2 linked regions of the Lytechinus pictus genome follow. The protein of the gene in region 1 purifies or fractionates together with the protein of each later gene. This does not show direct contact. Links are inferred from orthologs where the notes say so. Each region holds a gene or a part of one and is shown on either strand. Other genes may lie near its edges.

Evidence for each region. The genes of interacting proteins can lie anywhere in the genome.
Region 2: the proteins of ubiquitin carboxyl-terminal hydrolase 22-like (region 1) and STAGA complex 65 subunit gamma-like purify together in Homo sapiens (affinity purification with mass spectrometry; 3 studies listed by BioGRID and IntAct, with this or other methods). This does not show direct contact. The link is inferred for Lytechinus pictus from reciprocal best matches to the Homo sapiens genes USP22 and SUPT7L.

What each region holds. Positions count from the first base shown.
Region 1 is NC_087254.1:10,422,402-10,433,342, forward strand, and holds the start of ubiquitin carboxyl-terminal hydrolase 22-like, read left to right. Parts: upstream 1-5,807; 5' UTR 5,808-6,338; coding exon 6,339-6,458; intron 6,459-7,119; coding exon 7,120-7,252; intron 7,253-9,372; coding exon 9,373-9,486; intron 9,487-10,489; coding exon 10,490-10,594; intron 10,595-10,941. Other genes in the region: uncharacterized protein LOC129270144, read right to left, coding at 1-451. UniProt on the Homo sapiens protein: Deubiquitinase that plays a role in several cellular processes including transcriptional regulation, cell cycle progression or innate immunity.
Region 2 is NC_087249.1:18,377,903-18,389,249, reverse strand, and holds the start of STAGA complex 65 subunit gamma-like, read left to right. Parts: upstream 1-7,278; 5' UTR 7,279-7,421; intron 7,422-10,217; exon of another isoform or gene 10,218-10,482; intron 10,483-11,347. Other genes in the region: ileal sodium/bile acid cotransporter-like, read right to left, coding at 590-1,054, 2,185-2,389, 3,156-3,349, 4,447-4,683.

The sequences.
Region 1 (10,941 bases):
TTGGTTTTGCAGCTTCTTTTTGAAGGTCAATTCTGGAAGAAATCTCACTAGAAGTCTTATGGTTTGATGAATTTCTTTGGAGAATTATGTTTGCAGGTAAAACAGGTTTAGGGTCCACTTCTGAAACGATATCCCTTTGCTTTGCTCTCACAATTCCAGAGTCTATTTGTTTGTTTTCCTGCCATAACGGCTCGCGTCCCCTTGCCCCTACTCCGCCACGAATACCACCATCATCAGCTCCGCCTCCCCGGCCGCCCACCGACCGCCGTACAGGGCCATCCGGTGCTACGTTTACCCCGGCAACAAGTGGCTGGTTCCTCGCCTCGGGTTCAAAACGTCCAGGTTTCAATCCACGGCTGCCGTCGAGACGCTCGAATTCTCGCCAGACTAGCACCACAACCGATGCAAAAAGCAAGTATTGAAGAATTTTCTTCAATCTGAATCGCACCATCTTGTCGCTTTGAAGGGCTAAAGTGGAATGAAATCAAAGTTTCCCATATTCCGGCAGCGCTATCGATTTTCGCATTTCCCACCACGGCCGCCGACTCCACCGCTGCTTCCAGTACCACCAGGCCGTACCGGTAAACTGTCGATCTTTGGGTAACCTTCGTATACACGCGAGGATTACCCTTCAAAGATCCACGCTAGGGTGCACAGCTGTACCGCTTTGCCAACTCAATCGTCCCTGTTATTGTTTTCCAAAACTCTGGTACGCAGAAACCGAAGATGGCGTTTTCCAAAAACAAAGAGCAATAAACTTAACGAACGCTTTCGAAACTGAGGGATTCGGGGATATAGTGACGGCCAATATATAGAATAGGTGAAATTCATAAGCGCATTGCTTTAATACTTCTTCTTCTTCTTTGTTGTTCTTCCCCCGGTATTCGAGGATCAGCGGCTATCCGCTTACAGTTTATAACAATGTTGAATAATATTGGTTCTAGAAGACCCTGACCCTAACAAAAGACATCTATCCTGGGGGAGGGAGGGGGGGCATATTTGCCCCCTTTGACAGGGCCCTAGGAATGATTTTTTTACTGGGGGTGCTGATGTAACTTTGAAAAGCAAAAAAAAAGGTTTTGACAACACAATGGATAGCTAATTGTCCCCCCAAAAATAAGGGTTTTTACTACAAAATGGAGGTAAAAATTGGTCCAAGAAATTTGAAAACCCCCCCCCCCCCAAAAAAAAAAAAAATAAAGTTTCAATACAAAATTAAAGTCACTTTGGTTACATTTTTTCAATTTTCACACATCTTGCAGAATACCTGGGGGTACGTGCTGCCTATGGAAAATAATACATGCAGTACCCCCGAGGAAATTTTTGGGGATGCTTCAGCCCACCCCCAGCAAAGCCGCTTCCCAGGGCCATTTCCTTTGACGAATTTGAATAATTTTGACAACTTCAAAACTTCATGACATACAATGCAAATATAAGTTCTTCTAAAGCATTGGTAAGCACTGCAAATCATTCAACTTTGCAAAAAATACTATTTTATATTAAACATATATTGTCAATTTTTTAAATTTTGACATAATAATTTGGCGTGCATGCAGAGCGCCAAAACATGTACATTAAACATACCTATCAATCAATAATAATGATGATGATAATAATAATAATGTACTTTAATTAACTATTTATTGCAGGGAACCGATACAAACAAGCTTTGCTTTCCAATGGGTTCCCTTTTTTCATTTCTGTATATTATATTTTTTGTGTTTTGCTATACAGTGTAACTTTTGTTAAATTTTGGAATGAAAAAGAATAAATGCAATCAATAAATAATAATAATAATAATAATAATAATAATAATAATAATAATGATGATGATGATGATGATGATGATGATGATGTGATGATGATGATGATAATAATAATAATAATAATCAAATACACAGTTAGGAATTAAGATGCGGCGAGCCAACCCATTGCTTTCTTCGGTGCATGGAGGGGGTGGGTCATCGTGACATAGTTTGTAAAGTTACATTTGTTTCATTGTGAAGTGGTGATTTTGATATTCGACCAAAGTTCGACTGTAAGCATATACCTCGCCTCATCTCGGTATTAAATGGCCTAAATATTCGGGGGCAGGGGCTTGGGACTGTTGCCCCCTCAGAAAAAAAAAATATTCAAAATTCAGACCGAGGTAGGCCTATATAAACGAATAAAACAGAGATAAGAAGAAGGAAAAATATTAAATTGAAAAGACTACGAGAAAATAAGAAATCATTCTTTGGATATTATGTTAAAATTTCAAAAGGGTCAATTTCGCTTCTTTGCCATTTATTGTATTTTTACACCTGAGCGCCATGTACTGGTGGCCAGTCAGTGGTCCTTTCAACGGATTAACATTAGATGGCGCTAGTCTACAATAAACATATTACTGATTCATTCAACGAACAGGCGGTATAAACAGAAAAAAGTTTGATCGATCTGGTATTTGAGGATTTAAAAATGCAAGTTATTATTTCAAAGAGTTGCAAGAATTATCGAAAATTCATGATATCATTATGAATGTTCCTCTATAGTAAAACCATGCATCTGCGAAAATTTTAGCGACCCTTAGTTTTTTTTTAAAAAATGTCAACATTTTTTTTTCTGTTTCAGTTTGAATCTTTCTCATTTCAAGTTCAAGTTCGTCTTTATTTATCCATATTGGAAATTTGTTTTGTTCACAACTTCACGTCGATAAATATCAAAATAAAAATACAAAATCAAAAGAAAATGCAAAATCAAAAGAAAATACAAAATCAAAAGGAAAATCAAAGTCAAAATCAAAAGAAAATACACTGTTAGAAAAACAGAAGATTTTACAGAAGAAAAATTAAAAAACAGATTTTACAGAAAGTAGTCACCAAATCATTCTGTAAATTGTTAAAACAGGGAAGATTTTATACAATTTTTATAGAATTTTACAGAACAGGTCTGCTTAAAAAAGGGGGAAAATAGTTTAATTAAATAAATGTGTAAGGTTACATACACCAAATATCTATTTTCTGTAATTTTACACAAATGCATGTAATATTACACAGTGCAGTAAGATTAACAACCCTGCCAAACACGGCTGTTTGTCGAGATTTTTTATAATAAAAACTTAAGTTTTCATAAATTCGATGAGGGTGAAAAAGTATACACTTTAGATAATACTTGATGATCAATGCACTCATTGACTGCTAGCGGGTAGGAGCAGCAAGCACGACATCCGACAGGTGGCAGAGGTGACTCTCTCTTATGATTTTTCAAAAGAAAAAAAAAGTGGAGGAAACGAAAAGAATTAAAAGAAGAGCAAATAAAGAGAGCAATATTAGACAAATCAATCAAAAATTAGTCTGCAGGCACAGAAACTGATTGAAACTTTGATCAAAAAGTGGTTCTCCACTCAAAGACTATAAATATAGCACATAAGATTTGCTGTTTAGAGGACCTTCAGTACACAAGGCATTATAGGCTGCACAATCAGACCCTTAACTCGAGTGAAGGGTTGCACATGCAGCAGACCAATCAACAACAAGGGCATACCCTGTAAATATAAGGGGGTGGGGGCAAGTACAAACAGTCTAAAGTTCGCTTATTTTCACACACACAAAAAAATATGACAATCCTGGCACATGGTCGGCCGGCAAATAAGGGAACCGATGGCGTCACGCAGTATAGCTGTTCACTTTGTAACGGTCGAATAAAAAATATGAAATGTTATTTGCCTCATTAAATAATTATGATGCGAAACAAGAAAACAGGTAATCTCTCCGGTTCACGAGCATGTTTTTTCGACCTACTTTGACTCGAGTACACCTCAGAAAATGTTGATTTGACTAAAAAGAGAAAAATCAAACTAGGATAACGCTGAAAATGTCATCATAATCGGATGTAAAATAAGAAAGTTATGCCATTTCAAAGTTTCGCTTTATTTTCACCGTCAAAACAGTAATATGCACAACTCAGTGACATGCAAATGATTTTTTGTTTTTTAATGTTTGAATTATACAATATTTCATCTTTTACAGATTTGGAAATAAGGACCAACTTGACTGAACCATACAGCATTAAACAATAATAATTCCACATGTTCAGAGAGGAGTTAATCGTTGTTTCACTTGACAATTAGGAGAAAAATAGAACATTTCATATAATAAATACAAAAGAAATATTGAGTGGATTACGTCATCAGTCTCCTCATTTGCATACCGACCAAGATGTGCATAAATTATAACTCAGTGTTTTGTGGAATTAAGCGAAACTTTAAAATGTCATAACTTTCTTATTTTACATCCAATTTTAATGAAATTTTCAGTGTTATTCTTGCCTTTGGATTTTCTCTTTTTATTCAAATCACCTCTTTGTTGGGGTGGAAATATGCAAAAATGAAATATCTGTATACTTCATATAGATAGTGTGTGACATCAACCACATCATACATGCTTTGAATAGGCCTATATACGGTTTTGTGAAAATTGAAACTTTTTTTTTATAACTTTCGGGCCTATTTTTCATCCGATTTTATGAATAATTATGTCTTTCTGTTTTTAGGTTCAAATCAAATTTTAATTTTTGTGGCCTGCCTTTTGAAAGCTTTCATCAATAGACCGTTTCTTTCATCCAAATGCATTGAGGTTGTTGCATGACAATGCTACCCCCACTTAAAAACACAACAATAAATGCAATAAGGGGAAAAAAGAAAGCCCATCACTTTAATCACCCCCTTTCCTTGACGGTCGATCGGGGCACCTTTTTTGCCCGGTTCAAAAAGAAAAAAATACATCATTTTCTTTTAGGGGGCACCCCCTCGGAACCGTTACCTGAGCCCAAACTTGTTGCACATCAGTATCCGGGCAAGGCTTATGACATTTTCAAGAATTTTGAATGATCCTAGAGCACTAGCTGGCGGATCCAGGGGGGCACAGCCGGACGTCCCCCCCCCCCCCTTGAGAGGCACAATTAAAATTTGTAGTGTAAAAATGCCCTTAAAACATAAGTGTGCCCCCTTTAGAAAGTGAAGACCTTTTTTCTTTGTCAAATGATTTTTTCGTGGACAAAATCCCCTTAAAATTTTAGGTTACCCCCCCCTTTTTTTTTGCTTGTCAATTTTTTTCGTGCCCCCCTCCCTTCGAAAATTCATCTGCCCCTGTTCTAGAGTAATCAAGCCTACTTGCAATAGTCTCGCTATGCATTTGTGAAATGATAGGCAAAAGTTGTTTTAAGTGTTCGACATTCAACCCTATGATTATTATTACCTTTCTGTTTTATAAATGTTTTATGATTGATTTAATGAATATTATTCCATGGTTGTCATTTTAAGCAATCTGCTTATAATGACAATCCTTCTCCTGCAAACTGTAAATGTTGAAACCATTTGGTAGTATAGATCATATTTGTTCATATGACTTTTTATTCAGTCCATAAGTTTATGATTTATGCCCAAAAACTATAACCAATATGTTTGTTCTGTAATGAAAAACGTTTTATATACGAATGTTATGAATGCAGGAAAAAAGAATAAATCAAATAAATATCAAATTAGGCCTAGTTATTATTAAGTTCATTTTCTTTTACTGTTTTCAAGAAAAGAAAACGAGAAAACATGTAAATAAATCATGATTCATTGCAATGATTGGCAATGGAAGAGGCTGATAATGTGCATACCATGAAAACCATTCACTTCCATAATCATGATATAAGCTGCTTAATTGTGCTAAAATCTGGCATACTGCAGCAATGAGGAAGGAATTATACAAAAATGAAAGATAGAGAGGGAGAGAGAAATATGATTTCGGTTTATTGACCCAAATCCGGAAGTCAATTTCTTTGACTGGGGTACTGCGATTGCGCATTGGAAACAACTTTTCCAGGACCCGAGAGGAATGACTCTATATAGATTACCGGGGCGTTATATGCATACATATTTCAAGTGTATAGTTAAACACCGTAATCATTTTCTACAACTTGTGGCTTGCATTTGTCACTAGCATTGGCCGGCTGGGAACTCGTACTCGCCTTTTATTGTGCGTATTCCAGCATCGCGTAGAAAACAAGGGAACGCTATTTCAAAATAGACACGTTATCGGAGTTTAAAAACACTTGTACCGGTACCTCTCTCGATAAACAGCCTATTATGTATCTTTAAGAATTTGTGAATCAAAATAAGTACTTTGGATCATGATGACGACCTTCGTTGCGAAAGAAGAATCGACTGTTTTGGATATCGAGTGATTGAAGTTTCAGCTAGACTGGGTTCTTTACCGGCGAGCAGAGGGTTTACACGGGGAGTCGTGCCCCGCTGGACCAGGGAGATACGGAGTGGAGTGTGGTACAAAGCCAACGGGCAGCCGCTGCTAAGTATGAGCTTATCGGGCTGCCCGCATGTAGCTGCCTTCAAGAAGAGCAAAGGAACGAAGCCCTTTAGAATTATTCAAGCTTTCTTTGTGTCTTGTAGCTCTGTCGAAAATGTTAAGAGAAAAGTGAGCATCTTTCTTGTTATGTCATGTCTGTTGTCCTTTCAGTTTGTCACGTCGTTGAGGAGAAAGTGACACAGTGACAGTGGTGTCACTGTCGGTGAATTAACTGCCACTGCAGTGCGAAGGCGAAGACAAAGTGATTGTTTAGTTTGTCTTTGTTTGCTTGGCTCACTTTCCCTTGATTCAATGATGATGTTGTAACAGGGGACTATTCTAGATACTTAAGTTTGAACAGATGTTTCCCTTGCATTTGGCCCTCGCTAGTTATAAAAACAAATTAATACTAAACATAGGAAAGTGTTTTTTCTTTCTCATTTTTAATTTATCGCAAATTGTGCTTGTGGAAGAAATCAAATGAATATAGCCTAGATTAGACTAGATTAAAGTAAAATAATTTTTCAACATTTCAATTGTATCTCCAAGCTTCAACTAAGTTATGCCAAATCTATAATAAGGAGACATGCCCACACATATTCAAATTTTATTTTGATAACAATATTTTGGTGTTTCCTAACTCCAGTATTGAGCAATTAAAATCATGACAAATTTTGACTGGGCAAAAGAGAAACTGAACACTTTCTGAATATTATTGTCACTAAGGCTAAAAAAGTAATCCTTTGACTAAATATTTCTTTCTTTGACAATGTTTTCTTTCTTTGGGCAGGCTCGGGCAGGTAGCTGTCACGTATGTCATCAGTATAACCAACGTCTTCATGCGTGCCTACATTGTGTGTTCTTCGGCTGTTATATGATGGGCCATATACAGGATCATGCTAGGTCCACCAAACACCACCTGGGTAGGTTCATCGGCGTCGTCAAGTTCGGACGAGCATTTCATGGATCTTTTTGTCAGTCATTTTCACTGATGACTGTTGCAGCTTCTAAAATCTTATTGGCTCAGAACAAATAAACGATTGACTATTTGTTCTCTGAAAGACTTTAAAAGCTACTAAAATAATTGCATCTGATTGGTTTAGAACCAATTGGTCAATGAATATAACAGATTATCACTCATATCAGACATCTGAGCTGGTAATTTAACAAAACCGTATCGCCCTAGATTTTCTGAATATCGGAAAGGCATAGGTATATCATTTGTATTTTCCTCGGTCTCGATGCGCCTATTGACTTTGCATGCAGAGACGACACAAAATATGCCTTTGTATCTTCCCTGGTCTCACATCCGGGCATACGAGGATGCGTAGAAAGAGATATGCTTCATAATGATCCGCGCAGCAAAATATACGTCATAATAAAAACAACACTGGATCCCGGCGCTGGATATGCATCCCTAGTGACGCGATCTTATAATTACAAGTATGTCAAAATGGTAAAGTGCAGAGCCTGGCCCCTGGTATTAAACATCACACAGAACCATATTCTTGATGTCTGATTTGGATGATAATAAAGAGTCATATTGCCCTCGTCTAAAGACTCGGGCCAATATGATTCTTTTGTGGGCAATATATTTTTGATGTTCCCCTCAAGGCCAGTCAATATTATATAACTATTTGCTTTGTGAAAGACTTCGCAGGGTGCATTTCATGAAACTTGTCAGTCATTTTTCACTGGTTGACTGTTTAAAGCCGTTGAAATAATTTCATTTGATTGGTTAGAGCAAGTTTGCTAGTAAAAGTTTTGGACAAGATGTTTCTTAAAATGTACCATGGATGATGAGGGTTTTCATGAGGAATCCCTTGATTCTTACTCATAATAAGCATGAAAGTTTTGAATGAGAAAGGGTCAAATGTTTTCTTAAAAAGAAAATCCTCATTCATATTCATATTGTATTATGGCATAGTTAAAATGATAAATATTCACAGTGGGGGAGGGGGGGGGGATTCTGGGGCCCATTTAATGAAGAGTTACAACAACTGTAACATTTCATTATAGCAGGAATAAGCAGCCAATCACAACCAAGGTTTCCATGGTAACTACAATAATGGCAAACTTACCACAGCTCTAAGTCTTTATGAAAGAGGCCCCTGATCCTCTTGAAACTGGAGATCAGAAAGATGCCAAAATGAGTTGGGCCTAATTGGTAGTTGCTTGATCTGGTGCCCTGTTTAAAAAAAGACAACTATGGTAACTCAGTCCTTATTGTAACTCCCATGGAAACCATGATTGCGATTAGGTGTTGAGCCCTGTTACCATGGTAGTTGCCATGATTGCAAAGTTACCATAGTAACTTAGAGTGAGAGTTAACTCTTTTTGAAGTGGGCCCCCTGGTGTCGATTCCATCAACATCTGGGGCCCTTTTCATAAAGAACTTACAATTATAGTAACTTTGCGAATATGGTAATTGCCATAGCAACAAGGCTCAGCAGCCAATCAAAATCAGGGTTTCCTTTCCAGAATACTTGCCATAATGGCAAAGTTATTACATGCAAAGTGCTTGTCACAACATCTTTATGAAATGGGGCCTAGTTATAAACTAGAAGGAAAGAAATATATTCCCAGCAAAAATATGCTCACTTTATTGATGAATTTTAAGAACATACCTGTGCAGTATGGAGTAAGACATATGAGAATTAAAAATAAAAACGTTGTTGCTTAAATTCTATTGAAAGGGATCTTTTTGGACTCGTCTTTTCATAAACGTGGCATAGATCTTTCCTATAATTTGAGATACAAGCCTTTTCCCCCTTAATGACTATTATGCTTTCAATCGGGATGGTGCTAGGATAGGGAGGGGTCGACAATCTAAAAATTACTTCTTTTTTTTCAGTTGGATTATAGGGGAGGTATAAATTTACATTACCCAGTCTTCTCTTTTTATACTCTTTCTTCTCCTTTTTTTTCTTCACTTGCAAAATCATGGGGGGGGGTAAATTATTTTAAAATTGTAATGCACATATGATCTTTGTTTTGAGTTGATGAGACATTTTCCTTATTTCACTTTCCTCTGTTGTTACAGCTGTTGACATGACTCATGGAACGGTATTCTGTGTGGCGTGTGGAGACTATGTCTATGACTCTGAATTTGAGCAGATATCGCAGGAGGAGAGATTGAATTGCTCAAAGTTCCATGGTAGGTATACACAGTAAATCACTGTTTGGGGGGATCAAAATTACATACCCACATGGCTTACTGGATCGCATCAGTCGCAAGTCTTTATAGAACTAAGTGAGATAGTGATAGTGCCTAGAAACTGGGAGGTCTTTGATATTACAGTCATATTTCTCCTACGGTGTCCTCATGGTGAGTCGAAAGTGGCCTTTTTATGGATTTCCATAAGAACACCCAGGAAGCTGGTACAAAAATTATGAAAACGGCTGTTTTAGACTCGCCGTACGGCCATCATAGGTGAATGAGACTGCGCCATAAGTTGCTTGCCAATCTTCTATTAAGATGGCATTGTACATATAAACATTGTTAGCTATACAGCTGTATTTTTGTGAAACACCCCAGGATGTCATCCTGAATCACATTAGCAGCCAGTTCAGTTTCAGGTCACAGGAAATAGGTCAAAGGTCAATTTCGGGTCAATGAACTTAGACCATGTTGGGGTATTTCTTTAACTTTGAAATGTCATCATAAATTTGAAAGTTTATGGATCTACTTCATGAAACTTGGACATAAGAGTAATCTTATATCATTAATCGTTTTTGCACAAGTTTCAGGTAACATTAAGGTCAAAGGTCATTTAGGGTCAGTTTAAAATCATATGAAAGTTGTTTTTGGTGAATAAATATATTCATATGACTTGTTTTCCAAGTCAGCAATGCTGCTATATTCAATGGCATAATGTAGGCAAGACTGCCAGAGGCCCTCCTTTTGTTTGTACAAAAACTGCCGCAAATTATAGTTCTATGATAAGAATACAACATCTACAGCAAGGCGAATGGGTAAAGTTGGCTGCATGAGACCTATCACTTATATTTTTAGCATAACTGCAGAGGCAAGAGCTGCAGCTTCTGCCTCAATGATAAGACTAGAGCATTACTTGTGAAAAGCTCCTTGAAAGCTTGTTGCTTTGATTTCTGCCTGGGTGTGTCCAAAGCGAACTTTGTTCATCATTTCTTCTCTGCAGGTTCTAGCGTCCAAGGTTTCTCTGCTTGGGAAGCTACAGGCTATGAGATAGAGCTCCTTAGGAGGAACCCCACAAGAAAGAAAGTATCGGGAGGCTCTACAATAGGTACGTCACGATGGATAGGCAGGGGGGGGGTAAGATTTTTTAGTAAATGAATGTGAGGGAGGGAGTAAGGGAAAAATGTAATGTCAGAGAGGTGAAATAAAAGGGGACAATGGAGGGGGGGGGGGCCGAGGATAGCATTTTGGAAAGTGAGTAAGTAGGAGGGACAGGGGAAAGTGTAATAATAGAGAGATGAAATATGTTATACCGAGGTTTTTGACCTGACTGCTAAGAAAGCACGAATGCCTGTGAGCAAGCAACCAGGGGACCAACGGCTTAAGGTCCTTTCCAAGGGACCTGGTAATAAGGATAAATGCCTTGCCAAAGGGCACTAGCGCACCACTTGGGAA
Region 2 (11,347 bases), on another chromosome or scaffold:
GATGTGTATAAAAGGAGAAAAAGTATATAAAATAACCTGGAAAGAATATAATGCACGAAAAATGTGATTGATGCCGTAAACAAATAACCGGTAGGAAGGCGGATAAGCGGACAGGAGAGGAGAAAATAGAGGGAGAGGATAGACACAATAATGTATGAGGTTCAATAATGAGCACATCGGAGAAGGACTTGTGTCAGATTTTTTTTTATAAAAAAAAAAAGGATAATAATTATTTTATGTTTTAATTGTAGTCTTTAAAGTAATAATGATGACTTGACAGAGATGATGAATTAAACTTAATTTGGGTTCAATATTAGTTACGCCACTGACCTGAGCAAAATCAATATTGCAGGAGCGTATGTCGTGTCACCTACTTAAGTATAAATCAGATTGGCCAGAAATCCATGTACCAACTTCACTATGTTGCAAGCTTTTTTTTTCTCAAAACAGTTGGGTCTAAATGCCGCAGTCACACTGGCAAAGCAGACCATAGGCCGAATATAATACTACTTTCTACGATAAGCATAGGTCAACAGGTCAATATCATCGGATTGGTTTGGAGTCGGTTTCGTTGGTTGTGACTATAGCATTAGATTTTGGAATCGAGGGCAGAGCAAGCTTCTTCGGAGTTGATGTCTTTCTTCATCCAACCCTTGTCGGCGACGGGTCCGCCTTCATTGCTGCCGGTACGTCTCACCCCCTGTCTCACCACGATCTTGTAGACCGCGACCCCGATGAGTCCTTCGACCATCATGACGGGACCGTAGAGGGACGGGTAGGTTAAGACCTCAAACATGATGGGTGAACCTTCGAACGTCAGGACGGTCAGGGCCAGGGAGACGTTCTGGAGACCCGTCTCGTAGGCGATGGTACGGCAGTGTGCGGGCGGGCGGCGTAAGGCCCAGGAGAGGAGATAACCGAGGGCGGCGCTCAAGGTAGGGAGGGTGAGGACGCAGATCCAAACTTGCCAGGAGACGGAGTACATCCCGGGGTTGATGATTGCCGTGAGGGTGATGCTTGTGGCTATTCCCAGGAGGCCTAGGATGCTCCCAACCTAAAAGTAGTGATGGCAAAATATTAAAGAGCGTATAAGACAATATTGGGAGAGGGGGGATGAGGAGCATTTTCTTGTGAGATGAATGCAGTCCCAAGACCTCAAAATGATCGTAAACCAGGGTCGAGTGTTTCATAGAATCAATATTCAGTGACTTTCGCTGACAAATTTGCTCTTAGTCAATTAGATTAGGCTGAGGACTTTGGTAGCTTACAACAATTGTTTGTGAACATCACTATTATTTCATGAAATGCTTCATGGGGTGTGAAGTCTTGAAGTGGATGAACAGGGTAAAGAGACTATGGAACTATAGAAGACTCGATTTTCTTGGTATCTTGAGTGACCGTTATCATAATGCCAACAGAATATAATCTTTTCATGATGACTAACCATGCATCACTGCGTTTCATCAACATGTGCCGTCCGACACGTTTTCAGGGCCAACAATTTTCTTTGATTTTGATGGGCTGAGACGTTACTCTGCTAACGCTTCGTATAAAACAGATTTTGTCGGTCCTTTTATGAAACGCTCCTCGGTTTTTCAGGAGAGCGTTTCATCAAAAATTTTCGTCCGACAAGTTTTCAGATCCGACAACTTTCCTCGATTTTGATTGGCTGGGAAGATAAGATGCTAGTTTGTTGACTGTCTGATAAATACTTTGTTGGATAGTTTCCCTTCGCGAAATGCTTGCTGATCAGACAAAGAGTTTGAGGGGATATTAACGTAAAATGCCTTGCTATGAATTGCAATTATGAAATAACCACTCTTATTGGTTTAATCTTGGTCAGTGTTTTGAAAAACGTACACATGCTACGACGGTATTGATTGGCCCCTGGCATTTTTTTCATCGATTGATCACAAACGTTTACTATGGCTAGAACATTTTGGTGCATACATACCACACCTCCTCAACCAAAGATGTTATAATTCAACGTTTCGCAGTTTAAATGACCACTTTGGTTTCAACTAGGGGCAGCGTCAGGGTTTATGATAGGAGGGAGGCAAGACAACCTTTCCTGTCTCTTCTCGCTTTCTTCTTTTTTCTCACTGTGTTTCTTCCTTTTCTCTCTACTTTAATAAAAGGGACGCCCCCCCCCCCCCCAGTAGCGCAGACCCGCTTTCAAGTAACCTTTGAAATGAACGATGTCCACTCTATTCTCTTCCATCGGATGATCATCCCAATTGTTACTGGGATCACAATGGACACCAAAGCTGTGATGATGCTGACGAAGGGGACGACGGCATTGTCATCGGTCCATCTTCGACTGTAGATGAACAGGTTCAGAGGCATGAGCCCAATGGCGGCTACGGTCGAGATGGTCGTCATGGTGATGCTGAAATTAAAGATTCAGTCATTATCATCTGATCGTTTAATCGCATCTTAAAAAGAATTCAATATTTCAATAGATAGTTATTGACCACAGCGGTCCTTATAATCTTAGAAACAATATTATCAGTAACAGATGCGATAACTTTTATCAGGCTACTAGATACTATACTATTATTACTACTACTACTACTGTATACTACAGTACTACTAGTACTACTACAGTACTACTACTACTACTACTACTACTACCAGGGGCCGCGGAACGGTTTTCAAGGTGGGGGGGCTGACCATGCATAAAAATACAATCATATGGTCATTTTTACGTTTTTGTACATGGTTTTGGAAAAAAGTAGGGGGGCTGAAGCCCCCACAGCCCCCCCCCCCCGCTTCCGCGGCCCCTGACTACTACTACTACTTACTGCTACTTTTTCTTCCTCCTCCTTCTCCTCTTCTTCTCCCTTTTCTTCTTCTTCTCCTCCTTTTTCTTCTTCTTCTTCTTTTTCTTCTTCTTCTTCGACGACATTCGACCACCATCATTATCCTCTATGAACAGGGTAGGCACCACTAGGTGACATGATTCTAACAAAATGGGAAATGATTAGAGAGAAGGAGATGTGGAAGAAAGAAAGGGTGAGAGTATACAAAAAAAGTTAAGGCCGCCTCACTCTGCAATGCCTCTACAATTAAAATGAGAAAAAAATATAACGTCAACCTCTATCTAGGTCGTCTTGTCCTCTCCCCTGGTGTCGTTCCTGATTAATAAAACCAACCTGAGACATACATCTCCCTTTGTCCAGAAGGTGAAGAGGTTAGAGACGGCTCCTCCAGGGCAGCATGACATGACGAGTACCCCTAACGCCATGGGCGCCGGTAAGGACAGGGCGAGAGCAAGGCAGAAAGCAGACAGAGGCATCAAGACGAACTGGCACAACATCCCGATCAGTACACTTTTCGGCACGCGTAACTGGACAAAAAAAATAATAATAAAAAAGCGGGGAAAAACATTACCTTTTCGGGTCGTTCTAAATTGATTGGTATGAATGACTAATGAATATGTTTATGCATAAGCATTGTCATAGTTTATAATCTTTGTTGATTGGTTCTGTCGATAATGATGACTTATGCGTATTCATGCACTTGTTATAAAAATGATTAAACTTTTAAATATTGGGTAAAGGGAAAAATGTAACCTTCACTTAGATGCAAGATGGAGAAATAGTATATAAGTAGTGGATAAAGTTAGCAACAGAGTTGTTATACCATTCAAATTTAAATGTTATTATACAGGGGATCACGTTGTCTGCTAGTCCGAATGAATTAAAATTCAAAATCAATGTAATACTATAATTTGTGTCGCTCACACATTAATCGAAGAGAGCACTAATCAATACTGACTTAATTTAATTTTAAGACAAAACGTTTACAAGGTTAAGTACGGAACCTTACGATGACATATGCCCTTCCCCCCCCCCCCCCGTTACTCGTTCCCAAGAGTTTGCTTGACTTTTATAACTCGTTCCCTTGACTTATAACTCGTTCCCTTGACTTAATGACTCTTTCCCTCTACTTAATAAATCGTTCCCTTGACTTAAAACTCGTTCCATCGACATGTTATATAATGACTCGTTCCTTCTACTTTATAACTCTTTCCCTTGACTTAAAACTCGTTACATCGACATAATGACTAATTCTCTCTACTTTATAACTCGTTCCCTTGATATATAACTCGTTCCATCAACTTAAAACTCGTTCCCTCGACCTAATGACTAGTTTCCTCTACTTTATAACTCGTTCCCTTGATTTATAACTCGTTCCCTTGACTTATAACTCGTTCCATCGACTCAAAACTCGTTCCCTCGACCTAATGACTCGTTTTCTCTATTTTATAACTCGTTCCCTTGACTTATAACTCGTTCCATTAACTTAAAACTCGTGGAAATGAGTTATAAGTCGAGGGATCGTGCTAGTAACTCGTGAAAACGATGAATTAAATACAAGTGATATGGAGGTAAAAAGTAAAAGATAAATTGATAAATAAATTATGTAAATAAATTAACTTACCACTTCTTTAAAATCGCTTGGTTTGACCACGCAGCCCATGGCTAGCATGAGGAAGATAAGGATTGTGATCAGAGTATACTTATTTGCTTTTTTCAAGGCTGCGATGTAAGCAGGCGGTGATGGAGGAAGGTGTTGACCGGTGGTCGTCCAGTTATCCGTCCCCGTTACCATGGCAACGTCTTCAGAAAACATTCCCTCATCAGATAGCATCCGTGTCGCTGTTTCGAAATAATCCATGGTGTTGTCGACTTTAAAGTTCGATCACTAAATTACGGGAGATCAATTGCTTGAAATCAAGATAGTGATTTGAAAGACGGAGCCTAGTTAAGGTGCATAAAGTTACTGTGGGGTGTTAAAACTGACTACGAGAGGACCACACCCTGATGTTAAAATTACACTCTCGAACGTAGCACCAAATAGACAATGTAAAATTTACAACAAGTGTGCTGTAAAATCACACATATATAGGTGTTGAACTAACACCAAAATAGAATTAACACCGGAGTTAATGACTGTTGTGGTCCAAGTCTATTATGCACACCAATGAACTGCATAGCAATGGAAAACGGGATAAAAAGGAAGAATGAAGAATCATAAAAACAGGGTCAACTGGAGCCAATGGGAAGAATAGTCTATCGACATGATCCAGTGCACATGCTTATATTGCTATCGAAATAACCTTTTGGCTTTGGTACAAAAAACAATAACACTTTAAACGTTGCCGGTTGATTTGTCCGATATTGCGCTCGTTTGGCCTATTATAGTTGTAGTGTCTCAGCTGTTGTGAAAACACATTTTTTTTCCTTAACATTTCATGAAAACTATGAAAATCGGTCTGTTTACTCTATCGTGTTTTTTTTTAATAAGTTCGAGTCTTGCCCCCCCCCCCGGAAATATTATCTGCGTGTGGTCATGCAAAATGGCATGACTGGAAATCCTAAAAAAGCATTTAAAAGAGCATTTGACAGGGTCAGACTTTACCGCTTTTTCAACATTTTCTTTTATGGCGCCGGTGAAGTGCAAAAATATGTGCGCCGCTCGGCAGTGCACCCCCCCCCCCCCCTCCTTCGCCAAAAGCTGGATCCGCCTATGACAAAGGTATGATTTTACAGGGTATGGAAGATTCTCGTCTACTATGCATCTATTCACTAAATTTACTAAGTAACCAGAGGCGATTTTCTTTTTCGGTCATTTTTATTAGTTATGAAATTGACAATGGCCATCGATGTCATCAATGTCAACACTCTTTGGCTGGCATATATAGGGCTAGATGCGAGTTTGAGAATAAACGGGCCGGTATGCCTTTTTTTTCCTATCCAACTATCTGTTTATATATATTTCGAAATTCGAGGAGACATGTGTATAATTTCGATTTTGAATTATGTATTTTTTTCCATAATAAAAAAACACAAATAGTAGGGGGCATTTGATATTATGTCCCCCCCCCCTTTCCAAAATGGTAGGGGGACGCGTCCCCCTGCCCTCCCCCCCCCCCTGGGATTTCCACCCATGCCCTATATGACACAGTCCCCCGGCCACAGTCACACAAGAAACCGTCTCCAAACCCATGTTCCAAAGCGATCGGGAATACGAATTCGAAATAAGGCAACATAGCGTCGATCGGTCTGCTGTCTTTCATAAGTGTGACTGCTCAGAACTTCCTGAAAATGTTCTCAGCTATGAACAACCAGGGAATCATATGAACCTGTTATCAGCTAGTGTTCTTGTATCGGTTTCCCAAACTTTCTAAAATATTTGATTTGATTTTAGTGCTTTTTATTCTGCAATCGCATCATTATGATTATCATTTTGTGCATGAATCATAGATTAAGACGACGTGTAGAAATATGTAATTCAAAACAATAATGATCTACTCCCAATTTAATTATATTTACAATTTGCAAGAGTTCATTAAATAAGCATATTGCTTGAAAACAATTACACCCCAGAAAACTAAGCGCATTCAGTTATAAGAATTGTGTTGAATTTCTTTAAAATATTGTTTTAAAAATATAGGCCCTAACAACGTCACGGTTGTGGGAATTAAGAGTTCAAACGGGGGGGGGGGGGGGGCAATATAGTTTCAACCGTCGGAGGTCATTATTAAATATGAAATTTATAAAGTACAATGCAGTGGTTGGATTTGTTTATTTCCACTTTTGTCATGCGTTTTTGTTTTGTTTTGTTCAGTGTTTATTATTTTATATGACCTGCATGACTTCATATTACATCTTCAAATAATATATAATTTTGACCCTAGCCCGGCAGCAGCTGGTATTCCAAGAGGTTTTAAACATTATATATTGCAAATATTCGATGAGGCGTGTATATCTCTATGGTTTTATTTTACAACATTAATTGTAAGACCTGTACCAGTTTTCTGGGCACACCCTTGAAACATGACTTATTAAGAGAAAAGAGGTAGGTAAAATGAAAGGAAATGAAAGGGAATAGTGAAATATTAAATCATTTTCTGAATATTACGTCAAAAAAAAATTTAATAGATTTTTGTACTTAAAAAAGTTACTCGCATCTTTTCAGAACTTCAATGATGCTTGTAAAATTCACCCCCCATATCTGGCCCCTCAAAATTTTAGGCTCATTTAATATTTCTACACAACAAATTTGTGGGTATTGAAAAGTCCATACCAATCCCCGACCAATTCTTCCTACACCGATCTGTATACGGATCAGTATGCCTAACCTCTATCCTCGACTCGAGCTCCCCCCCCCCTCCCCCCTCCCCCCCCCCCCCATAGTCATAGAGGTGAATAATCTATCCACCTATGCCCCAACCTTTTTTATTATTATTATTTGGTATTTACAATCCGCAATATATTTTTTACATGCAGCTAGACGTAGACCACTACTATACCGACGACTACAGTCCGTACGGTGACTTTTGTGCCAGAATACCCCTGATTTTATTCGCTATTAGGCCACGAGGTTCAATGAAATCTGGGATTATATCATTAGTGAGTAATATGTGATACATTTCTTGTGCTTATATTTCAATACTCTTTTAACCTACCTCATAAAACCGCTTGAAAGTAACCTATTTTTAGATACCGGTCCCGTGCATTGAATTTTGTGTAAGCCTCGGCTACTTCTTTCCTTTGGCTTTGTTGGTTGGCCGTTGGCAACCAGTCAGGATTGACTATTTTTGCCACAGCTTTTGTTCATTTTCAATAGCTAATTATTATTTTTTTCTTTTCCATTCCTTTAAAAAAAAAAAAAAAATCTGTTTTTTTTTTTTTTTTTCGTTTCTTTTCTTTTGTTCTCTTTTTCTTTTCTTGTTTCATTTTTTTTCATGCATTTTTTTTCGTTTCTTTTCTTGTATTTTTGTCCTTTTTCTGCTATTTTTCCCCCTTTTTCTTTTCTTTCTTTTTCTACTACTACTAGCCCAGCTAGTCTTGTCTTGTCTTTCCGTTAATGCCCATAATCATATTTATATTGATTATTATGGCATATGAAAGTCAAGATTGACTTGACCTGAATTTTGCCGGGACCGGCAGGTGCAATACACCGGGAGACAACCCTACTCTTTGACGAATAGTGTATTGGTTTTAACGTGCATAGGTTGTGACTCTTCTTCTTCTTCTGGAAACAGTACAGTCCACCGTCTGGTGTATTGTCGTACTGGTGAAGTGCAGCGTGCAAGTGTACATTATCCGATAAAAAATTGCTTACAGCGTGCAAGTAAAAACAACCACCGTTATTAACGGAGCTGTGTCTTTTGTACCTCTTGTTTAAAGATGTGTAGAGAGGTACAATTAACTGTGCTGTTGGGGAGGGAGTTCCAAAGTCTTATCGAATCTGGGAAGAAGCTCCTCTGGTAGACAAGTGTTCTGGCAAAGGGAACAAAGATCTTCTGAGAATGACCTCTATGCATGGATGTGGATGGAGTGAGGAAGGTAGGTGGGATGTCAATGAGTGAGTTGGTAATACAGTAGATCATCACCACCTTGGCCTGTGCCCTACGCTCTTGTAAAGTTGGCCATTTGAGCTGGTTCAGCAAGGTTGCTACACTGCTTGTTCTACGGTGATCATTACAGACGGAGCGTGCATAGCGTCGCTGCACCATTTTAAGCTTTTTTATATTTGCTTGCGTGTGAGGGTACCATATTATGCTGGCATACTCCATGATTGGTTGCAGGAGAGCTTTGTAGCACAGTTCCTTGACCTTTCTTGGACATGGCCGGATATTTCTCTGGAGGAAGGCACGTGTGGAGTTGGCCTTTTTGGTTACAGCATTTATGTGTTGATTCCAGCTGAGGTTCCTCTGCAGCTCAACTCCAAGATACTTTGCTGTATTTTATCAGATATAGTCTGTCTTCTCCTATACACGGGACCAACATTTGCGTCCTTTCCGATGGACGGAGTGTTTTCCAACTGCATTCACACCTGCACTGAATACAGTGGTGAGGCACGCTAACACACAACGCTATCACTTGTTCACTGCAACCACCCTGCCCGTGGGGAATAGTACAAGTAGGACTATGGCATGCCAATGCTGTACAGAGCACACACTTTCAAAAATCATTAAAATATCACTTTTGTGACCAAAATTACTAATTTCTATACAGTTGCAATTTATTTTTCATTAGTAACTTGGGAATAATTTTTTGTATTCACTAGAGCGCTAAGAAACTTGAATTTTTGGCATATTTTTGTGTACGCCCTCTATTGGTGGAAAGTAATATGGCAAGAAATTTTTCATTTTTTATCTCTATTTTTAATTAAGAAAAAAATAATTTAAAGAATCAAATTTACTTAACTGCTTAAGCAAGGGCCAAGTTGTATGACGAATAGGTGTAATGGAAACTCAGTGTAAAAAAATCAAGCATTTGTCCCAAAGAAAAAAGAGAAAATAAGCCAAACATTGCCACCCTTATTTTGCCACACATGGAGATATAACTGAGAACAAGGTTATATCATAACCTTGTTCATTGAATGAGTGAACGCTATAGCATCAGATTTTTTGTCAGACGCGTTTCGGCATGAGCGGGACTCGAACCCCTCACGTTGAGAACTACGATCTTATCTGAAACATGCGCTCTAACCGACTGAGCTACGCTGCCTCCCTTGCTACGCTGCCTCCCTTAACAGTCTTGTACTGTTGCAGAGGGATAGGCATCTGTTCGTGACGACTTCCCGGACGAAATTCTAACTTCCACATTTCAAGGTTTAAATAAACTAGAATTCGTCTTATGTAGACTTGTAGTGTTATTTTTTTTTAGAAATCTGTCAACTGTCAAGCTTTCGGGTCAAAGAAAATTGTTGATATTAAATTTGAATCGAGACGATAGAGAAAAATTGGCAAGAGTTCCAATATGCACCCCCCACTAAAATTGAAAATGAAAACATTGATAAGGTTTAGAATAATATATCTAGCCCTAAAATAGAACATATATGATGGGGAAGTGGAAATACATACCAAAATATGGGTTTATTCCGTCAAATTTCGAGCAGGATCTAGTACGTGTAATTGTCCATAGACATCGGTTTATTTAGTTAGTAAAGGGTCTGTGAGTCTAGACTAGTCGAACTATCGGCTGATAATCGTTAAAATACCCCTTCCGGTATCAGCGCTTCTTGCTAGCATTGCGGGAAGAGACTTGACTGGAGATACAACGAGGTGAGTTCGAGTACCAACTAAGGTCACTCACACATGCATGCGAGGTTAGCTAAAACCTCGATTCAAGTCGTCGGTGCATATAGGAAATTGTACAAAAAAATCAACAGGTTGCATCTCATGTATTTACTTATAGGTGAAGTACGCCATCTTTTGACAAGATGATGATGAAAGTGGATTGAACGAGCAAGAAAATAATGCTGAGCACCTAGAATGCAGCTAGCAGTACAAGCTTCAGGACCGTAAACAAACCGGCTTATAAATAATATCGCGCACCCTCTTTAGGCCAAAATTGATTTCGTCGCTGATCGAAGGGCATCTACGTGAAGATCAAGAAAAATTCCTTTTTCTTAAAAAAAATAAACAACAAAGAGCAGTCACCAAAGGATCCATATGGTTCGGTAAGTGTCATAGCACAATGTGAAATTCTAGCTTTAATATAATAATCTTTTATTTGGGCAAAAGCCCATGTAAGCTTTGCATGTGTCGCGTGCATCATGTGCATTTGATATTCCTTCGCACGCGAGATGAAATGAACCCATGGGTGATCTAAGGTAAGCAACAGTAAAAAAAAATGATAGAAAAATCTGAAGTGAACGAACCGGAAGTCTCAACAATCTTTTGTTATTTTTGGTGGGGGCTGCATAAGGAACTCTTTCCGAGTTTTTCATGAAAATTTCATGAAAATCGGATGTAAAAAAGAAAGTTATGCCTGGAATTTTAAAGTTTCGCTTATTTTTCACAAAACAGTTATATGCACAACTCAGTGATATGAATGCAAATGAGAGGATCGATGATGTCCCTCACTATTTCTTTTGTTCTTTATAAAGTTTATTGTTTGATTTATACATTTCAATTTTTACAGATTTGACAATAAGGTCCAACTTGACTTCACGATTAACTGTTAAAATAACGGTAATTCCACCTGTTCAGGGAGGAATAAAATTTAGCTTCACATAATAATGAGGATAAAATAAGTATTTTTCATAGTGAGTTGGTGATGTCTTCAGTCTGCTCATTTGCATACCGACCGGATGTGCATATAAGTAATTGTTTTGAGAAATTTCGCGAAACTTTAAAATGTCATAACTTTCTGATTTTTCATCCAATTTTGATGAAATTTTCAGTGTTATGCTTGTTGGGTTTTTCTCGTTTTATTCAAATCAACTTTTGTTGCGGTGGACTTGTACTTCTCAAGTTAGAGTTCTAGAGTTGTTTCTTGCCCTTTCTCAAACTGTCAAACGATACCCATTCCAAATTTCTAGG